Canis lupus familiaris: one gene and its partners. Each later gene encodes a partner of the first gene's protein in a complex. Links are inferred from orthologs where the notes say so. Each region holds a gene or a part of one and is shown in the gene's direction. Other genes may lie near its edges. The genes, in order: DLG4, SHISA6 and CRIPT.

The links.
Region 2: DLG4 (region 1) and SHISA6 share a complex: the UniProt entries of both Homo sapiens proteins name them as parts of the postsynaptic hippocampal AMPA-type glutamate receptor (AMPAR) complex. The link is inferred for Canis lupus familiaris from reciprocal best matches to the Homo sapiens genes DLG4 and SHISA6.
Region 3: the proteins of DLG4 (region 1) and CRIPT are in contact, whole or in part, in a crystal structure (PDB 5HED), measured with the Rattus norvegicus proteins. The link is inferred for Canis lupus familiaris from reciprocal best matches to the Homo sapiens genes DLG4 and CRIPT. Residues at the interface, in NP_062567.1 of Rattus norvegicus: Gly322, Leu323, Gly324, Phe325, Asn326, Ile327, Val328, Gly329, Gly330, Glu331, Asp332, Glu334, Ser339, His372, Glu373, Ala376, Leu379, Lys380, Arg399, Phe400; in NP_063972.1 of Rattus norvegicus: Lys94, Asn95, Tyr96, Lys97, Gln98, Ser100, Val101.

The regions. Positions count from the first base shown.
Region 1 is NC_049226.1:32,392,953-32,397,358, reverse strand, and holds the start of DLG4 (disks large homolog 4), read left to right. Parts: upstream 1-1,494; 5' UTR 1,495-1,620; coding exon 1,621-1,789; intron 1,790-2,464; exon of another isoform or gene 2,465-2,560; coding exon 2,561-2,659; intron 2,660-2,860; coding exon 2,861-2,901; intron 2,902-3,783; exon of another isoform or gene 3,784-3,940; coding exon of another isoform or gene 3,941-3,970; intron 3,971-4,406. Other genes in the region: ACADVL (very long-chain specific acyl-CoA dehydrogenase, mitochondrial), read right to left, coding at 176-310, 421-485, 567-639, 728-793, 1,066-1,141, 1,218-1,279. UniProt on the Homo sapiens protein: Postsynaptic scaffolding protein that plays a critical role in synaptogenesis and synaptic plasticity by providing a platform for the postsynaptic clustering of crucial synaptic proteins.
Region 2 is NC_049226.1:35,907,792-35,911,432, forward strand, and holds part of SHISA6 (protein shisa-6), read left to right. Parts: intron 1-3,229; coding exon 3,230-3,382; intron 3,383-3,641. UniProt on the Homo sapiens protein: Involved in maintenance of high-frequency synaptic transmission at hippocampal CA3-CA1 synapses.
Region 3 is NC_049231.1:49,891,093-49,895,233, forward strand, and holds the start of CRIPT (cysteine-rich PDZ-binding protein), read left to right. Parts: upstream 1-1,335; 5' UTR 1,336-1,445; coding exon 1,446-1,461; intron 1,462-4,141. UniProt on the Homo sapiens protein: As a component of the minor spliceosome, involved in the splicing of U12-type introns in pre-mRNAs. Involved in the cytoskeletal anchoring of DLG4 in excitatory synapses.

The DNA.
Region 1 (4,406 bases):
TGTACTGGGAACAGAGCCATGTTTTTTGTTTTGAAAGATGCAAATATTGGCACAGTCAACATCACACAGGCCCCCCCTTAACTGACAAACCTAAACCCTAGGTCACATGAGGAAGGCGCTTAATCAGCAATGTTGGAATAGCCTGCGATGCTGGCAGTGACCAGGGCTCCCTCACCTGGGTGTTACAGAGGCCCACACCACCCAGCTCGCTGGGTACTTGCAGACCAAAGGCCCCCAGCTCCTTGAGGCCTTGCAGTGTGGTCTCCTCCACCTTCTCCAACGTGTCATTCTTGGCAGGATCGTTCACTTCCTGGAGAAGGCACAGGATGTCGCATCCAGGTTCCTTTCTGGCTGCTGAACACCTCTGCCATCCCATCAGGGACCAAAGCCCTCTGTTCCCCCACCCCAGTCCTTCCTCACCTCAAAGAAACGGGACACAGGCCCCACCAGTTCTTTGAGAAACTGGGTCTGCTCCTCACTGAGTACTGTGGGGGAGAAGGACAGGCTGGTCAGGTCACCGGGGAAGTGGAGAGGCCCTGCCCTGCCCCGCCCCGACGACTACTTACCAGATGGGTAAGGGAACACCTGATCGGTGGTGAGCTGACCCTTGAACATCCCCGCAGCAAAGGACTTGGATTCCTGCTCAGGGAGAAGGGGGTTTCAGCGAGCTGTCTGCTGCAGTGGGTGAGCCCCTGGCCTAGGTCCTCCCGGTATGGAGGCCACGTACCGCCTTGGCCTGCTTCTCTCTGGTCGGAGCCTCAGAGGAGTGGGAATCTGACTTCTCCAGAACCGCCTGGGGAAAGGGACAGTTAGCGAGGCCCGGTAAGGGACTCCCGAGGAGCTGGAGACCACGGGAAGCGCTGGGTGCGGGCGGAGGCGGACGCAGCGACCTTTCCCCTACTTCCATCGTCAGGGCACCCTGGCCTGCCCTTTCCCCTACTTTCGGCGCTACCGCGGGCGCCAGGTGTCCGGGACGGAGAGGGAGACCCCTGCCGGCGGCGGGGAAGGGGGAGCCGAGGCGGACTCCGCCTCCCGCTCTGCGCGCCCCAGGCCGCCGTCACTCACCTGAGCGGCCCCACTGGCATAGGGTCGGCAGGCCGGACCGGGCAGGGGCTGCCCCAGGAGCGCGCTGGGCCGCGAGCTGTGGGGAGCGGGGGCTCAGTCCGGGTCCCCGGTCCCGCTGCCACCCCGGCCCTGCCCTCCTGTCCGACTCGCACCTTCCGACCCCCAGCCTCCGCAGCTGCCGCCCCACGCTCGGGGCCATCCGTGCCGCCTGCATCTCCCAACCACTCCGGTCGCCGCGGTCCTGAGCGCAGATCTAGCGCCGTCCACCCGTCTGCCAAAGACTGGCTGCCCTGGTCCGGTCTTGACTCATCGTCCACAATGCACCGGGGGGGCTGGGCTTCCGGCCGCCAGCGCATGCTGGGAGATGTAGTTCCGGGGCGGGGCCTCCCCCACCCCGCCCCTGCATTCTGGTTAACGTAGGGCTATCTCCAGACGTTTCCGTCTCTCCCAAACGCCTTCGTCCCACCCGGCCCAGCTCGAGTGTAGCCCTCGGAAGGGGCGATGGGATAGGCTGGGGTGGAAGGAGGAGCAGCTCAGGCTTTTGCAGCCGGAGGGATGGAGGGTGGGCCAACAGGAGGACTTCCCCGGTGGAGTTGGAAGGGAGAGGTGGGAGAAAAAAAATGTAAGACGGCGGAAGCAGGGGCAGATGACTCTATGGAGTCCCTTGTGAAACCCATCTCCATCAACACGAGAGGGAGGGACATGGTGGCGTGGGGCGGCCCAGGTATATTCTCCTGAGACCTGAGGTGTCACTAACTTTAGAAACACCTGAATTCTCACCGTAGGGCCCTCCCCTCCCTTCCCCTCTGCAAATTCACCGCCTCCCCATTGGGGCGCTGGAGTCTCTGCCCTTGTTTCCTCCTGAGACTGTGTGACATCCTGGACTCTTCCCAGGGGGAGTGGAACTGTAGGGATTCTTCTGTCGCCCACTCTCACCACACACACCTAGCTCTGGGTCAAGGAGTCCCAGGTCATGTATAGGTCATGTATACCCCTGCCCTGCTGACACACCCAGTGGGGAGAGGCCTGGGCTGGGGCTGCAGGAGCCTCCTTGGGGACACCCCTCCACCCCCACCCCCGTCCCCAGTGCCCAGTCCCTCTGGAAAGTGCAGCAAACTCACCCCTGGCTTTGGGAAGAGAGACCATTGTGCCAGGCGACCCAGGGGGTTAGGACAGGACTGCCCACTTCGGTGGCTAAAGGCTAAAGGCTGGAACCTGGTGGGGAGGCAGCTCAGCTCCAACCCTGGGGATTAGGGAGATTAAAATCAGAGAAGAGAGATGTCCGAGAGACCCAGAGGTGAAACTGGAGAGTCCCATGGAGGAAAGGCCTGGGGGCGGAGCCGAGTGGGGCTGGGACTTGAGGACCCTCCTGCTGATCCTTCCCCACCCCACTTAAGCCCAGGGAGAGGGGACAGGCTAGGGGAGGTGAGTGAGCCGCGCCTTGGTCCATGGGTCTCTTCCCCATCCCATTCCTCCCTCGCTTGCATTTCACCAGCTCCCCGGTCAGCCCTCTGGCTCCTGGCCCCCCCACTGTTGCGATGGGCGCCCCCTCTCTTGGCTGTCCTGCACAGTGACCTCTTCCAGGCCCTGCTGGGTGAGTAGCCCTGATTCTCTGGGGACGCTGGGGTGCGAAGGGCTGGCCTGGGCCTGCCAGGGCAGTGAACACACTTGGGGGACTGTCCGGTTGGCAGCCAGGAGGCCCTAAGGTGCCAGCAGCAGTCAGGGCAGGGGTGGGGGCAGGGGAGCCCCCCCAGGTGGGGTGGGGGAGGGTAACTCAGCTGTATTCTGGTGACAGACATCCTGGACTATTATGAGGCTTCCATCTCAGAGAGCCAGGTAAGGGGGTGAGGTGGGGCGCCTCCCCAGAGGGGCAGACAGGGCAGGGGCCGAGCTGCCGCCCCACCCTTGGGGGCCTTGAAGACAGACTTCTGAGCCCGGGGTGCAGAGAATCCCAGACTCCACGGTCCTGTTGGTCCCTTTCCCCTTCTGCTTCCCCGCCCCCCTCCTCCCTTGGCCCCAATTTCGGGCATAAGGAGTCCAGCACAGAATTACTTCTCATCCTTCCTCCTGTGCAGCCTGAGGGAGAGCTGCCCCCCCACCGGACTCCCCCCTGCCTGCCCCCCCAGACCCCCCCTCCCGCCAGCCAGCACTGCAACTAGCATGGGTGCTGCCAGCCCCACAGCGGGTGCTTCCTCTCCTGAGACCCAGGAGGCCTCCTGATCTCTGGCGCTGGTGCCTGGCCAGGCCTCCATCTTTGCCTTGGGGCCTGTCTGCCTCCGCTCTGCTCTCCTCTCCCATTATCCGGGTTCCTGCCAGCACTGAAGCAGTTAACTCTGCCAAGGCACCCCCCCATCCTCGCTCCTCGCTCCCTCCCTCCCTCCCCCTGCTTCCTCTCTCCTCCTCTCTCCCCTTCCCTCCTCGGCTCCACGGCTCCCTCGGCCGCTGCCGCCTCCAACCCCCCCACCCCACTCCCCCGCCGCGGCCCTAGCCCCTGGCCGGCAGGCAAGACCCCCCCCCTACCCCGGGGCTCCCTGAAATCCAGTTCCCCTCCCCCACCCAGCTCATGCCCCAGCCCCCGAACTCCGGGGCTGCCAGCCCCCGGTGCCCCCGCCCCTCCTGAGAATCGGGGTGTGCTCCCCAGGCCCCCTCCCCTCCACTGGGGACTCCCTTCTAGGGCCCCCTTCCCCTCCCTCCCACGCACCCCTCCCCTTCCCTTCTCCAACCCCCTCTTTCCCCTCTCACCCCTCCCCCCATCCTGGCCCCCCCTGCAAAAGTGGGGTGCGGAGGGGGGAGGGGTGAGAACCCACAGAGGGGAGGAACGAAACTCCGATGAAGTCAGAGCCCCTTACCCGCCGCCGCGGCCAGCCCCCCCAACATGGACTGTCTCTGTATAGTGACAACCAAGGTAAGCACGATAGGGGGGCTCTCAACTGGGGGGAGGGTATGAGTTTGTGGGGAGGGGTTAGGCAGGCCTGATCTGGGGCTGGGGGCTGGGAGTGTACTGGGGGGTCATGATTTACTTTGGGGGTTCACATTTGAGATCATGCTAGGTTTGGCCACAGGTGCCCCCTGGAGTGATCTCTTTGTACCTGTAGAGAAATGGAAAATTTGGGCTGTTTTGTGGTTTGGGGGGGCTGATGGGTTTTGGGGTTCACCAATGATGTTTGAGGGAGACTTATTTAAGGAGAAGCCTGGCTCACATGGGAGTCCTGCTCTTGTGCATTAGAAGGTGGACTGTGTGAGGGGGGGTTCTCTTCCCTCCTGAGGGACAAACTGGCTTCTGGGTGTCTCGTCCAATTTCAGGGGGCTCTTGGCATGGGGGTAGACGGTTATTGGCTGTG
Region 2 (3,641 bases), about 3.5 Mb from region 1:
GGTTTACAAAACCACGCTTCCTTCTCATAACCTCCTCCTGCCAGATTGCAACTTTAACATCTGGAACTGCAGAGGAAAACTATTTTTGGTACCTGCTTGAAACTTGGTATAACATAAGACAGCCATGTAAATTACGAGCTATCAGTCATCCTTCTGTCTTTGCTCTGAAGGAGTGAAAACATCATTAAATTTTAGTGAGAAAGAAACTCAAAGATAAAATCTGCAGCTCGCTTGGCAGAGAGATTGACCACTCTCCTGGGAGATCATGCTCTGCGTCAGCATTGAGGTGTTGAGCATCATAATTAGGACAGAACTGGACTATTCTCATGGCCCCCCCCTCTAGGACTAGGCTCCTAGTGGAAATTTGTGATGAAAGCGATAGTTTAATAAGCCATTTCCGGTTGCGGGATCTGGGATAAACCAGAACTGGAAGACATTGTAGATCAGTTAAGAAGCAGCAGGTTACCAGCAATGATGTGGACGATAGGAAAAGACAGAAGGTTCAGATATGAAACGTGGTGGAGTAGTGACTCGCTGAATATGGCTGATGAGAGTCAACTGTGAATAAAATGCCAAGCTATGATCAATGAGAAGAGTGGGGGTTCTTTGGGACGCAATCTGAAGAGGTAGGAAGGCAGCTAGGGCATAGAGGAGAGGAAGCTGTCAACGGTGAATTTGGATCTGGACCTCTAAAGCTGGAGGGGACCATAGGGTAGTTAAGAAAAATGACTCAGCAGGCAGCTAGAAATGCAGACATGCAGTCTGGAGTCAGGTTACGGCTGAAGATGTAAGTTATGCTTTGGAAGCAGGAACAGATGCCCTGGGAGTTGGGGGGGGGCCCATTTTGTGTGAGAAGGCTGAAAGAGAAAAGCAGAAGGCAGAAGCCGAGAGCCTGGGGGATGCCCATGGTGATGACGCAGCAGCAGGAAGAGGAGCCAGAAGAGGCAAGCGAGGAGTGCTCTGCTTGCTCCTGAACATTCTGGAAGGATAAGTAGCAGCTGGTTTTCTCCAGAAGTGGCCAACACAAGCACAGCCTCCTGAGGACAGAAGGAAGAGCCATTCTTCCCTGTTCCTCTCCCTGTCTTCTTTTTCCACCTGTTACAAGGAGCTGAGGGTAGATAGATCTAGTCCCTGACCTTGAGCAACTCACAGCCTGGTAGAAGCAGAGTTTTCTCTGTATCTGTTTCTTGGAGGCTACACTTTCCCCCAGGAGCTAGCAGAGTGACTATTAAAGGGGAATGTGTCCTGTGTCAACTTGATTAACCAAAGAGCATTAATTGGATCCTTATTAAGGGCCAAACACTATGGAGGCATCAGACCAATTAGAAAGCAAGTTTTTGCTGTCAAGGATATGGCCATCTTTGGCGATCAACAAGACTGGCTCAAGTCAAATGATTAGAGATCACATAGGCACTCAACTGGGTGGGATTGCCTGGAAAAGCAATAGGGGCTTGAAGACCAGATATCACCACGGGCTGAGAAGATGTGACATTGCCATAGCGAAGAGTCTTGAGCGAAGAGAGAATTTGGACAGAAGATGAGTAAGGAAGGGCATGGCACTAGGAGAGAGCGCATGAACAAGAAGACAGGGGTAGTCATGGTGGAGGCAGAAGACAAAAAAGAGCTGGCCTTGGCTCAGCAGCATGAGCTGAAGAACAGTGGGGAGGGCGAAGTGGGGGTTGGTAAGAGCATCCAGAAATGTTGCGTTTGGATGCAGGTGACCTGAGCTGTGCCCTCAGTGGGAATATGATACCAACAGGGAGAGGGGAGCATCATCCTCCCCAGCATCACCAAAAGTGAAGAAACGAGAGCTAGGGGACTAGTGGCTGTTACCCAGCTCCGATAGCAGTGCTCCCAGCTTCCTGCCCACTCCACTTCCTGGCATCTGTCCCGATCCATGCCAGGGAGGCTCTTCTGTACAGCATGTTCTGATCTCTCGGGGATGTAGAGCGTCCCTCACCCCCTCACATATGTACCAAGCTGGCATGAACACCAGCTTATTGGCTGGGCTCCCCTAGCTTCATCTCCAGTATTTGGGGGGACCAGTGAAGGCAGGAAGGATAGAGAAGCTGGGAGTTCCCTGTAGCAAGGCTGCCCTTGGACCGAGTCTAGCGGTGCTCCTCGTTGTCTCCTACTTCACAGAATCCCTGACTTCCAGAGTTTGGCATTCTCTTTGCCAAGAGGCAGGGGAGCCACAGCCTGGCCCTTCTTGGGGGTCCCAAACCAAAGAGGAGGGAGGGACAATGAGAGAGCCACCTGCCTGCCTCATATTGGGGAATGGTACCACTGTTTCTCCAGCAGTACCTGTTGACATCTTGCTGACACACAGCAAGTCAATCAAGCAGCAAGGCCTGCTTGCTTCCTTCCTTCTCAACCACTCCCTTGCCCATACCTGCATCTCCTCTCTTGCCCCAACCACAGAGCCCAGCTCAGCTCATTCACCTCATTATTCATCCACCTCATCACCTGCACATCTTCTCTTCCACTACTCCCCCCCGTCCTCCCCCCCCTCCAGTCTGGCATTGAATACACTCCCTTCTCTCTCTTCAGATTTTGGAATCTCAGGGTTCTAGCTCAAGGGAAGGAGGGAGAAAAAGGAAATTATGTGCTAAGCATTTTGTCTACATTCTTTCCTCCAGTGGCTCAGAGATAGCCAAGGGGCCTTCAGGGGGAGGGCTTGGAGGAGGAAGAAATGGCTCTGGAGCTCACAGTGACTTGTGGGGCTCAGGGCTTGGGGAGGTCTAAGGCAGAAGCGGTGATGTGAGGGATAGAATGACATCATGGGCCATGTGGGATGGAGTCTCAGTGGAGCTGGGGTCCTAGACCCAGGTCTATGGGTCTGTGGACAAGACCAGTCACTCTACCTATTTCAAATTCAGATTTTTCTGAACCTGAGAGCTAGGAGGTAAAAGATGGAACTTTCACACCAAAGTAGACAATTTTATGACCCCCCTCAGCTCTATCAGGCATACGTCTTCATCAGATACAGAGGAGTTTGCCATTAAAGGAAGGGCAACTCCCCAGCATGGCTAAAACAGCACCTGCCACTAGGCTTGTAGACAACTGGAACTGGGTATGAGGGAAACTGAGTCACCAGCACCACCTGTGTTCTAGCACAGTGGCGGGGGGGCCAGGAAAGCAGGATGAGGAGAGATAGAATCTGGACCTTCCTTGGCCCTGCCTGCCCTTTGTCCTGGCTAATGCCATGCACCCCTCCCTTCTTTTGCAGAGAAGCCACGGATGAACAACATCCTGACATCGGCCACGGAGCCCTATGACCTCTCTTTCTCCCGCTCCTTCCAGAACTTGGCCCACCTACCCCCATCCTATGAGTCAGCAGTGAAGACCCACCCCAGCAAATATTCATCCCTGAAGAGGCTAAGTAAGTGGGGGTTTCTCGGGCTTGGGCTTTGCCTCTGGGCCCTCTGTGGCATCATCCTATGTTTTTCTCTCCTGCTCTGCACCTGAGGGGACAGACGTGGAGTGCTGAGAATAAAGAATGAGGTATAGCTTGGAAGAAGAGGATGGGAAGCCCCTGTGTTTGTTCTTTATGGTGGCCTGAATCCATCTGCCTACAAATCGAATAGAAGCCACAGAATCTTGGAATCACTTTCCCATAGGACAGAGGCCACGGAATCCTC
Region 3 (4,141 bases), on another chromosome or scaffold:
TTCCAATCAAAAGTAGGGCATAAGTAGAAGAAAAATCTTTCTTTCTCTCTATAAAATACACATCGTGGTATGTATAACATATATGTTTATTTATAAATTACCTAACGCAGAGCTTATACATAGTACTGGCTAATATCAAAGTAACAGTCCACATGTTACCCATGTTACACTGTGGTTGAATATTCCAGAAAAACAAAAGGGCAAGTCAAGGCCTTATCTTTACAGCTCTGATCTAGTTCACATTATAATTTTCCAAGGCAAATATTCTACTGATAAGGAAACAGGCTAAGGCACGTTGGGAGACATGTCCAAGGTCCCAAGCTCCCAAGCACTATAGCCACGTCAAACCCTCGCCTCTTTGACATAAATCTACACTCCAGGGGCCGAGAAGGGGATGAAGAGCAAGAAGGGAGGAAGGAAACCTCTCTGGCAGATCCGCTGACCAAGGGGCAGGGGCGCAGGATCCGGAATACACCGTCTGAGCGGACTATCCCTTCGGGTATGTTTCTGGGCCGCTCTCAGAATCCCAAGTGATATGGGCAGATGAGGCTCTAATACACGGAGCAGCACCCAACTGCTTACTGAATGAATGAACGAACGAACGAGGAGAAGAGGGTGGGCCAAAGGTCTGCCCCCCCGCGAAAGCAGCCGCGGGGGTGGGCCCTGGCGAGCACACCCCGGCGGCCAGCGCCCGCGCCCCCGCCCCCGCCCCCGCGGTCGGACCCGGCCCGCGCCCACCGCCCCGGAGGCTGCGGAGCTTACCCGCGCAACCCGCGGCACCTGCCCCTGCAGCCCCCCGCCAACCTCGGCCGCTCGGGACTCTGCCCGAGCCTCACCCCGCGCCAGTGTGAACGGGGGCGGGGCCGCGCTGAGAGGCATAAGCAAAAGGGCACGGGCGCGGAGACCGAGACGAACGGAGGGCGCCACACACAGGGACGGATCCGAGGGCCGGGTCCATCGGGGCTGCCCCCGGGTCACGCCGGAAGGGTGGCCCTCGGGCGGGCGGCGGGCGCCAGCGGGCCGGGGGCACAGACGCTCGCGGCCACGTGGGCAGTGGGTGGGGGCCGCTGGCACCCCGGGAGGCTCGCGTGCCGGGCGGGCGCCGCTGGGCTTACCTAACTCTCCCGCCAGCGGAAGAGGAGCGCGAGCTACCACCTCCCACCATCAGGTACGACTCGCCGCCCTGGCCAACGCGCAGGCGCAAGCCTGTGGGGCGGAGACCCAAGGCGGCACAGCCAATTGCAGGAGCGGAGGGGCGGGCAATGGGAGAAGCCCCGCCTCCCACGGCCTCTCAGGTGTGGGGTGGGCGGGGCGGTGGGCGGGGCGGAGGGCGGGGCGGCCGGAAGCGGATTTTCGTAACCCGGAAGGGGACGTCTGCCCCGGCTGTTGTGTTGACATTCTCGAGCTGCTGCTGTTTCTGCGGCCGGGGGAACCGTCGGGGAAGGATGGTGTGCGAAAAATGTGAGTTAAGGGGCTGACTCTTTGGGAGGAGGCCAGGAGAAGCTAGCAGGAGTTCTCCGGGGACTTCGCCTTTTCTTTGTCTTTTCTTTCGGCCACAAGTCTCTGATTCCAGCCTTTGTCCTTTATCCCTTTCACCGTTCCCATTGGTTTTGCATTCGGAGTGTTCTCAGTTTTGTACTGATTTGTCTATTTCCTTTGCCTCCCCCAGCCCCACCCCGGGATTTCATCCCATACAGCTCTTGACTGGCTCCTTAGCCTCACAGACCCTCAGCATTGGAATGGATCTTAAAAGTCATTTTTACAACACCCAGAGTTTCCAGATATAGCAGACATTTTAAAAATGAATACTTTTTTTAGAAGTATATCCCATGCGATATTTGAGACTTGTCTTTGCTCGCAGCTTCTTAGTACTGAAAGTGCTTTGGGCTTACCTTTAGGACATGACAATACTAAAACACCATTCATTGTTTATTTGAAATTTAAATTGAACAGGGCATCCTGTATTTTAACGAGCAACCCGAAGTTAGCATCCTTAAATGTTGACTTAAATGTTCTTTGCATGAATATCTGAGGTCTTGAGGCAGGGTTCAGAAAGCCTCACTACCTTCAAAACAGTCTGCGTAGATGCCACTGGCTTTTAGAAAGTTCCTTCTTGGGCAGCCCGGGTGGCCCAGCGGTTTAGTGTCACCTTCAGCCCGGGGCGTGACCTGGGGTCCCACATCGGGCTCCCCGCATGGAGTCTGCTTCTCCCTCTGCCTGTGTCTCTACGGCTCTCTCTGTGTGTCTCTCATGAATAAATAAATAAAATCTGAAAAGAAAAGAAAAAAAGAAGAAAGAAAGAAAGAAAGAAAGAAAGAAGAAAAGAAAAGATCCTTCATCCCTACAGTTGCCAGGCAGTGATTCTAATGCAAACCCTTGATGTTTCTGGAAAGTATCTTAGGATTTCTTTGATGTCACAGACTGTCTATATGTTTTAAAACGGCTCTCATATCCCTAAGTCTCTTTTTCCTCAGGCTAGACTTTTCTTAACAAGATTTCAAGTCCTCTTATCTGGATTAACATTAACTTGATCAATTCTGTTTATATTCTCCCCTCCCCCCCAGTAGATAAACCTTTAAACACAGGCACCCATGAGTTTGAATCACAGGTTTTACATTATGTAAAGGAATAACCATGGTGAATTACCTAATATTTCTTGGCTCCAGTTTTCTCCTCTGAAAAATGAGAATAATACATAATTTATGGGGTTTTGTGAGAATTAGATAATGCAGGTAAAGCCTGATATAAAAGTGCCTTAGTGTATACTCAAAAACTGGTTATTCCTATCATAACTCCCAGTATGTGGCACTCAGCATTAAACTCTGCTCCATTTTATGAGGAGTAGAGTGGGACTGATATTTTCATTTTTCTATGCTTTACATCATCATCTCACATGAAGCTTTTAAAAAATTATTGCAGTTCTACCAATTGGCATAGGTAGAAGTCACCCATTTAAAATGTGCCATTCTGTTATTTTTAGCGTATTCACAGGGTTGTGCGACCATCACCACAATCAATTTTAGAATATTTTCATTGCTCCAAAAAGTACATTAAGCTGTTTGACATTGACGTCCTTTTAACTCTACTCCATCCAATACTTATGAGGTTTTTTGGTTTTGCTTGTTTGAGTAACTATGTCTTACATATATTTAGGTTATGCACCTTCTCCATGTCTTTTCTCTTATGTAGGGTAGTTCCTAAACATGTAAATTAGCCTTCTTTGTAATTTGTGTTAATTCGGTACATTTTAACTTTAGAGGCCTGGCATTCTGACGGGCTTAACTTGTTTTGTGTGATGTTCTTTACACCATAAGTGCTTTTTTCCCAGGAAAATTGAGGATACTGGGCAAATTCTGAGAGGTAATTTCCTAAGGCACATAAAAATTTTGAGAAGCCAAGATCGGATGTGATGTTAAAATACACATAGTTTGGCTCTGGGACGTGATATATGTCATAAAGGTCATTTGCTTTTTACTTCTCTGCACTTCTGAAAGTCTGTATTATTTCTTTGCTCTAGTACCTTTCTACCTTCTGTACCATCTTATTCCCCAAATAAAAATAGACTCTTAATTCAAAGACCTTTCTTTCAGTCCCTTTCTGCTTCTCTGTGACTTTGAAACTTGATCTAGATTCTCTTTGAATTTACTTCTCTTCTTCTTTACCATTATAATCTCCAAGTTTTCTTATTCTCCCTCTCCCTTAAAGTAGATATTTCCCAGTGATCGACATCTGCCCTTCTTTTGACTCTTTGTTTTGGAAATATCTGGCTTCAAGTAGTTTATCCATGCCAGTGAATGTCTAATCCACATCTCCAGCCGACTTCTCTCTATACCAAGACCAATAGAAGAAATTTCTCCAGACAATACTGGGACCCTTCATCTGGTTGTTACATAGTAGTATAGTACTTCCAAGACTGAATTTGTCATCCTACTTTATAAATCTGTAACTTCTCTTCCATCATTTAATGGCATGGCAGTCCTCCCAGTCACCCATTCATAAAGCCTTATTCATCGCTCATTCGTTCTGGTATCCCTTTGTCAACCTGCATCCAAACACTTGCCTGTCCTGCTATTGTTACTTCCATTCAATAGCTCATATTTTCCCTAGCCTCTCATTTACCCCTTAAATAACCTACCTGAGG